2 linked regions of the Cricetulus griseus genome follow. The protein of the gene in region 1 interacts with the protein of each later gene in a biochemical or structural test. Links are inferred from orthologs where the notes say so. Each region holds a gene or a part of one and is shown in the gene's direction. Other genes may lie near its edges.

Evidence for each region.
Region 2: the proteins of Scn8a (region 1) and Fgf14 form a complex in vitro, tested with the Homo sapiens proteins (2 studies listed by BioGRID). The link is inferred for Cricetulus griseus from reciprocal best matches to the Homo sapiens genes SCN8A and FGF14.

The regions. Positions count from the first base shown.
Region 1 is NC_048595.1:397,474,174-397,477,986, forward strand, and holds part of Scn8a (sodium channel protein type 8 subunit alpha), read left to right. Parts: intron 1-308; coding exon 309-446; intron 447-1,368; coding exon 1,369-1,473; intron 1,474-2,197; coding exon 2,198-2,468; intron 2,469-3,813. UniProt on the Homo sapiens protein: Pore-forming subunit of a voltage-gated sodium channel complex assuming opened or closed conformations in response to the voltage difference across membranes and through which sodium ions selectively pass along their electrochemical gradient.
Region 2 is NW_023276807.1:274,269,973-274,273,885, reverse strand, and holds the start of Fgf14 (fibroblast growth factor 14), read left to right. Parts: upstream 1-1,600; coding exon 1,601-1,808; intron 1,809-2,967; exon of another isoform or gene 2,968-3,254; intron 3,255-3,913. UniProt on the Homo sapiens protein: Probably involved in nervous system development and function.

The DNA.
Region 1 (3,813 bases):
TCCTTCTCACACATTGGCTCTCCACGTCCAGACCCTGCTGTTCACTTGACCCTGGTGGCAGCGACTATCCTCTGTCCTTCCTCACTGCCTCTCCCTTGCTTCCCTGCTCTTTAGCCCCAGAAGTGACAATGCCCTTGAAGGACAGGTGGGCCAGGGGAGAGCAGAGAGAACCTGCAGCTTCCACCCCAGCTTGGCAGCCACATGAAGGGAGAGTAAGGCTGGTAGCTTTGGCATGTTGGAGTCAGCCCCAGTCCCAACAACCCCGGGGGCAGGAACTGACTTGAGTGCCTCTTTGCCACCTTCCGCAGCCTGATGAGCAGCCTAAATACGAGGACAACATCTACATGTACATCTACTTCGTCATCTTCATCATCTTCGGCTCCTTCTTCACCCTCAACCTGTTCATTGGTGTCATCATTGATAACTTCAATCAACAAAAGAAAAAGATAGGTCTCCTCCCCACATTGCCAGTGGTCAGAGGTCAACCCAGATGAGAGGCACACTGGCCTTGTCTCTAGGGAGACTCTATCTTCCTCTAAAACTCAGACTGCTACCTCATGGTAGCACTGGCCCTGGTATCCCGGCAGCAACCCCTTTTGTTTGGGGCTGCACTTGGCAGTGTGTGGCTAACCACATTTCCCTGAGATCTCACATTCCTGAGGCCACTATTGTTAGAGCTTTCTACCAGAGGGAGGGACAAAAGAAGCAGATAGTGCTATGGTGAGAAACAGAAGTAGTCACGGTGGGATTTCAAGGCAACCCTCAGAGGGTTCCTTTCATCACTTGTCCCACATGGGTAGTGATTCTTCCAAAGCAAACTGGATGACAGATTTACTCTTGTGCATAAGTTCAGTGAGTTAAGAGAACCACATGGTCCAATTTTTTAAGTTCATAAAAAGCAAGTGCACCATTTTTGGCACTCAAAAATCTTGTTTTTAAATATTTGGAGGAGGGGGGTGCTGGGCATGGCAGTGCACACCTTTAATACCAGTATTCAGGAGGTAGAGGCAGGCAAATAGATCTCTCTTCATAGTTCCAGGCCATACAGGATTACATAGTGAGACTCTTAAAACAAAAGCAAACAAACAAACAAATACATGTTTTCCCCTTGATGTGGCTATCTTCTGGTCCCTTGCTCTCCACTTCTGCCCTGAGAGGCTGAAGTCGAACAGTCCCATCTCACTGTGTGGCCTGGAAGATCTCAGACACCCAAGCTGGAGTAATTGCCCAGGAGTGCTCCCTGCAGGAGAGCTCCCCCACCAACCTGACCTCTAGAGGGAGAGCCTCTCCATTCTCGGTGCTGGACCTAGATGCTCAGTTGCACCACCAGAGCCAGTTGTAATTGTCCTTTCTTCATCCTTTCTTTACTTTGGAGGTCAAGACATCTTCATGACAGAGGAACAGAAGAAGTACTACAATGCCATGAAGAAACTGGGCTCCAAAAAACCCCAGAAGCCCATTCCCCGCCCTTTGGTAAGAACACTGGCCAAATATAGTTGGTTTTTCACTCTGAGGGCCTGCCACCCAGTTCCCAAATAAATACAGGGAGACTTATACTTACTTATGAGTGCCTGGCCTTAGCTTGGCTTGTTTCTAGCCAGCTTTTCTAACTTAAATTATCCCATTTCTCTTTAACTATGTTTTGCCTCTGGGCTTTTCACCTTCCTTTATTCTATATGTCTTTCTTTCCTTCTTACTCTGTGGCTGGCTGGGTGGCTGGGTGGCTGGGCCCTAGTGTCCTCCTCTCCTCCTTTTCTTGCTCCTCATTCTTCCCTAGATTTCTCCTCCTATTTATTCTCTCTGCCTGCCAGCCCCACCTATTCTTTCTGCCTAGCTATTGGTCGTTCAGCTCTTTATTAGATCAATCAGGTGTTTTAGGCAGGCAAAGTAACACAGCTTCACAGTTAAACAAATGCAACATAAAAGAACGCAACCCGACAAGCGGTGGCACACGCCTTTAATCCCAGCACTCGGGAGGCAGAGGCAGGCGGATCTCTGTGAGTTCAAGACCAGCCTGGTCTACACAGTGAGTTCCAGGATAGGCTCCAAAGCCACAGAGAAACCCTGTCTCGAAAAAAAAAAAAAAAAAGAAAAAAAAAAAGAACGCAGCCCATGTTTGTGTCATTAAGCAAATATCCCTCACCTTAAGCAAATGAAGCATGTCTTGAGCTAATATTCTCCCGTCTCTCCTTCGCAGAACAAAATCCAAGGGATCGTCTTTGATTTTGTCACTCAGCAAGCCTTTGACATTGTCATCATGATGCTCATCTGCCTTAACATGGTGACAATGATGGTGGAGACAGACACCCAAAGCAAGCAGATGGAGAACATTCTCTACTGGATTAATCTGGTCTTCGTCATCTTCTTCACCTGCGAGTGTGTACTCAAAATGTTTGCCTTGAGGCACTACTACTTCACCATCGGCTGGAACATCTTTGACTTCGTGGTGGTCATCCTCTCCATTGTGGGTGAGTGGGCAGGGCCAGCAGAGGGACAAGGGGGTGAATTTAGGGTGAGCAGGTGCCTCTCAGATCCCACCCCATTGTACTCCTCAGTCTTCTCGCAGACCTGCCTGGCAGGGCGCATGGGTAGTGTTTCCACTGAGTGCTCCCAGCCCTCTTGGGTGTAAATGCTGCAGCCCAGAGGCAGGAGATGAAATCTGATTTGCTTTCAAGGGATTCAACATCTACCAGGAAAAGCAAAAGAAACTTGTTTTTTAAATGTGGCAATGGCCTGGAGAGATGGCTCAGCTGGTAAAATGATTTGCTGTATATCTTCACTAGGGTTTCTATTAACATGATGAAACACCATGACCAAAAGCAATCTGGGGAGAAAAGGGTTTGTTTCCCTCAGTTCCATATAACAGTTCATCATCAGAAACAGTGAGGGCAGGAACTCAAGCAGGGCAGGATCCCAGAGGAAAGAGCTGATGCAGAGGCCATGGATGGTGTTGCTTACTGGCTTGCACCCCATGGTTGCTCAGCCAGCTTTCTTATAGAACCAAGGACCATCAGCCCAGGGATGGCCTCACCCAGGCCAGCTGGGCTCTCCCCCATCAATCACTAAGTAAGAAATGCCCTACAAGCTTGCCTACAGCCCCATCTAATGGAGATATATTCTCAATTGAGGCTCACTCCTTTCTGATAACTAGTTCATGTGTCAAGTTGACATAAAACTAACCAGTCCACTGTACAAGCATGAGGACCTGATTTTGATCACCAGAACCCATGTTGTGGACATGGTATACACAGTTACAATCCCTTCACTGGGGAGGCAGAGACAGGCAGACCCCTTGAGCTCACTGGCTGGCCAGCATAGCCCACTTGGTGGGTTGTAGGCCAGTGGGAGACCCTGTCTCAAAAAACAAGGTTGATAGCACCTAAGAAATGACACCCAAGGTTGACCTCTGTGATACATACATGCAGGCATGGCTGTCGTGAAGTATGAAGTGATCAAAGTGTGGCTAAGATTAAGACAGTAACTGAATTACCTAAGCACATTCTGGAGGCTATGGTCACAGAGCTGCTGTCATTGCCAGTAGTACTGGCTACATAGATGTCACTGTGGGCAAGAGTAGCTGCAAAGTCACCCCCCCCCCAAGTTGTCTCATTGGGACCTCACAGCTGCACCAGAGCCAGGCTGTCTTACCTTCCCTGATCGGCTTGTTTACCTGGGCGGTGGCAGAAGCAGAACTCAAGTTGGTCCCAAAGTTCATGTTTCCTTCAGCCTAAAAACAAAGCAGGGTTGAAGTTCTAGCGAGTGAAGAAGTCCTCAGGTGATGTCTCCTTCTTGAAAGGTACCCCAAGTGCTATG
Region 2 (3,913 bases), on another chromosome or scaffold:
ATTAGGATACTTTCTGTCAAGGAAAGCATTTCAAAGGAATGGACTATCTGTCTAGAAAAGGCATAAATGTTATTCTGTAAATATGACTTTCCCCACAAAAAATATGCTTTCATCTAGATTTTGGTGATTGTCTTTTTTTGTTTGTTTATTTTTTGACAGGGTTTTCTGTGTATTCCTGACTGTGTTGAAATTCACTTTATGGACCAGGCTGGCCTCGATTTCACGGAGATCTTCCTGTCTCTGTCTCCTGAGTTCTGGAATTAAAGGTGTATGCCACCACTGTTCGGTTGGTGTTTGTCCTTTTATTAGGCTGTTTCTAGAAATGTGTATTGGTTATCTACCTGGCTTTTATTTTTCTATGAGCACGGTAAGTGGGAGTCACTACCCAAGAAAGAAAGGGACTTGAATTTTCCTTAATATATAAGGTGCCTTAATGTTGCTTTTGAGGATGGCGAGTGGAGTTGGTTTTGGCTGTGTGCAAATGGCATTAAACTCCTCCACCATGTATTTTCTAAGGTTTACTCATTATAATTGTTAATTGTACTTTTAAAATTCGCTTTCAACAGCAGGATTTGAGACCAGCAGCAGGCCTGTGAGCTGGGTGAGGAGGAAGAGGGTCTCTGGGGTTGGGCTGGCCTGGCTGGAGTTGGTGGAGGGGAGTGTTCTGGAGGGGTGGCACACACTGCAGTGACAGTCCCTCCCAGGGCTGGTTGAGGCACCTCACTGGTGACGGGTCTGAAAGCACGTGGCTACGTCATGGAAAGCCAGTCTTTTCAATGCAAACTTCAACTCCTCCTCCTCCCTCTAATGCCTGTAACTCACAGCCAAGGCTGGGCGAGAAATACGGAGGAGAGATTTTCCTCATGCTCACGGTGCCTGGAGACTGGAAGGAAGAGTGTAAGGAAGGAGAAAGGAAATTTGTGGCGCTTTCTACCTACTACGAGACTGACAAGGGGAGGGGGCATCTACATTACATCTTCTCTTCGTGATTAAGAACTGCAGTTTCAGTCCAATCCCACGGAGCTCTGGTGATTGCTTATCTTTGAAAAAAAAAAAATTGACCGCGGGAGAAGGAAGGCTCAGTCTTTGGCGGCCAGATACATCTCGGAGGTGGTATTGGTGTATGAGTGTGTGTGGTGGTGTTTTGTTTTTCTTTTTTCTTTTTTCTTTCTTTCTTTCTTTTTCCTTTCTTCCTTTTTTTCTCCCTCCCCCCACCCCCCGTTTTTTCCCTTCTCTCCTAGGGGCTACACAATGGCAGTCTTCTCTCGCTAAGATGAATCCAGCTTGCCTTCTGCAGATCCGCCCATCCTCAGTTCCATTGAGTAAAAGGCTATGATTTTCTCTTTGGAGATCTTTTGTGCATTACTGTTCTTCCTGATTAGTTCTGATCTCGGTTGGGATTTCTTTGCTTTTTTTGGTTTAGCTTCATGTGAAAAAGGATTTTTTTCTCTCCAACCCTTTGGTCATGATCCAGTGCTGATCAAGAGGGGATAAATCATTCACCCTGGCCGAGAAAAAACAATCGCTGAGAAGTCTCAAAGAGGTATACCACGTGAGGGGAAAAAACTGGGAGAAGATCTGGAATATTAACGTTTTTCCTATGGTAAAACCGGTGCCCCTCTTCAGGAGAACTGATTTCAAGTTATTATTATGCAACCACAAGGGCCTCTTCTTTCTCAGGGTGTCTAAGCTGCTGGGTTGCTTTTCGCCCAAATCAATGTGGTTTCTTTGGAACATTTTCAGCAAAGGAACGCATATGCTGCAGTGTCTTTGTGGCAAGAGTCTTAAGAAAAACAAGAACCCAACTGGTAAGCAAAGCATGCATCATATTCTGTTTTTCCTCGTAATACCCTGTCTGTTGCTCACCGAGCTAGGTCTGCAGTTTTGCTATGCAGGAGGCCAGGGAACACCAAGGAACCCGGACAGTGTTGCATACAGAGGTGTTGCATGAATAAACAAGTAGCTACCGCCGATTTGCTTCCTCCGGACCCAAAAAACCTGATCAACAGCTCTTAGCTGTGACACAATCCATCACTAGGAGGGAGGAGTAAACTTTTTTTTTTTAAACCCCACTAAATGGATTTGGTCTCTCGTTTGTCTGGTGGAATATTGAAGGGCTTATGGCTTATGGCTGTGCCAGGAGAAAGAGCAGAGAGCTTGCCTTACTTCTGCTCCTCTGGGGACAGAGCTTTAGACTTTCTGATTAGCTTGCACAATATTCGCCACCCCATCACCTTTAGCAAAGTAAAAGCTCCCCCTCCTTCATGGCCCGGCTCCTCCGTCAGCCCCCGCCTCCCTCCCCCGTCTAGCTCTGGGTGCTATTAACTCATTCCCTAGTCTGCCTCTGACACATCTAGCCTGCGAACAGTGAACACTGGAGCAGGGCTTGTGCCTGGGGGAACCAGGTCCTAGAGGACAACCCCAGTCCCTCTAATATATGCCATTTAAGTTCCTTTCCCTTTCACAAACGGGCGTGCAAACCCTGTGTGTGGGTCCCAGGATGACCAGCGGGTCCCTGCCTTATGCCTTCTGGCGACCACACGCCCCGATTTCAAAGGGCTCCAACCAGGGAACTTGCAGTATATTACATAAGAAATGCAAATGCAGGTGATTTGGGGAGCCGGTCCCAGGGGTTTACTTCCCTGTGTCTAGTCTGAGGCGTTTGGGAGCCGCGGAGTCGTGGGCGAGCAACCCTCAGGCAGCTACGCTGGAGGGCTGCCTGGCGGTGGCAGCTGCGGCAAAGGAGGCTGGGTGCAGTGTTTCCTCAAATCATTTCTGCTGTCAGCCAGGAGCGTGCGGCATCTCCTGTTTGGGATGGAGTGGGGAGAGGCCTGGAGCGGAGCGGTTTATTTATTTATTTATTTATTTATTTATTTATTTATTTATTTATTTATTTATTTATTTATTTTGTCTGTAGCTGTGCTGGAGGGGCGGGGGATCATCTGTCCTGCAGCGGCAGCGGGGCAACTAAGGCTGCTTGAAGCTGGCACTGCGGTGCACTAGATCATGGCTCTCCCGCGACCGCCCTGACACCTGGGGCTCAGAGCCGGCCACGCTGTCACCCAGAACTCCCACGGCTGGGCAGCAAGTGGCTGCTCGCTCCCAGCCTCTCAACCTAGCAAATGTAACATCATGGGGATGACGCGAGCAGAGGGGGTTGCGGCCTTGTGGTTTTAAGGAGAACAGAGGAGCGTGGGTGGGCGGGGTTGGAAGCAGTGGGTGTGGAGGTCTAGGACGTTTTGCAGACACCACTTCTGCAAAAAAAGGCAAGGTGCATGAGAGTTGTTAAGAGTGTCCAAAAGGGCAAATGCTCCTGTGCTCAGGGCAAGGGAAGTTGCTCCTAGCTGGGGAGCTTAGAGGACTATGGAGGTTCTGAGAAGAGACAGCCATTGACTTCTCAAGGGTTACCTGCTCATTGAAGTTGTTGCCTCTGTCCTACTGTCCTGGTCCTTGAATTCTACATTCATACCTTGCCTAACGAGCCTCCTTCACTGTTTCCTGTCCTTTTACCCTTCTGCACCTTACCTACTCAGCGTTTAGTGACACTGGAAGTCTCATCCTGAGACTTCTCTAAGGAAAGAGCAGACTGGACACCCTACTTAGCAGAGCATTCCTGATTCAGGCCCAGAGTGTACTCCCGGTCCTTGGCATCCAGCCTAACACTACAGATGCTTGGTTCAATTACCCACCTACATCTGCAGCACTGGTTCATGCCCTGAACATGAAATAGCTGTCTGCAGGACTTTCCAAGGTGGACAGGCCAAAGGCTAGAAGCCTTCTTGTGTTGTTCTGTGAAAAGATTTAGCTTTCTTCTGAAAAAGCAACACAGTAGAAAGCCTTTCTTTTTTTGTGACTTGACCATTTGTCTAGGGACCTTGAAGTCATCCCTTCCATAATATTGGTGAGTGGGAAA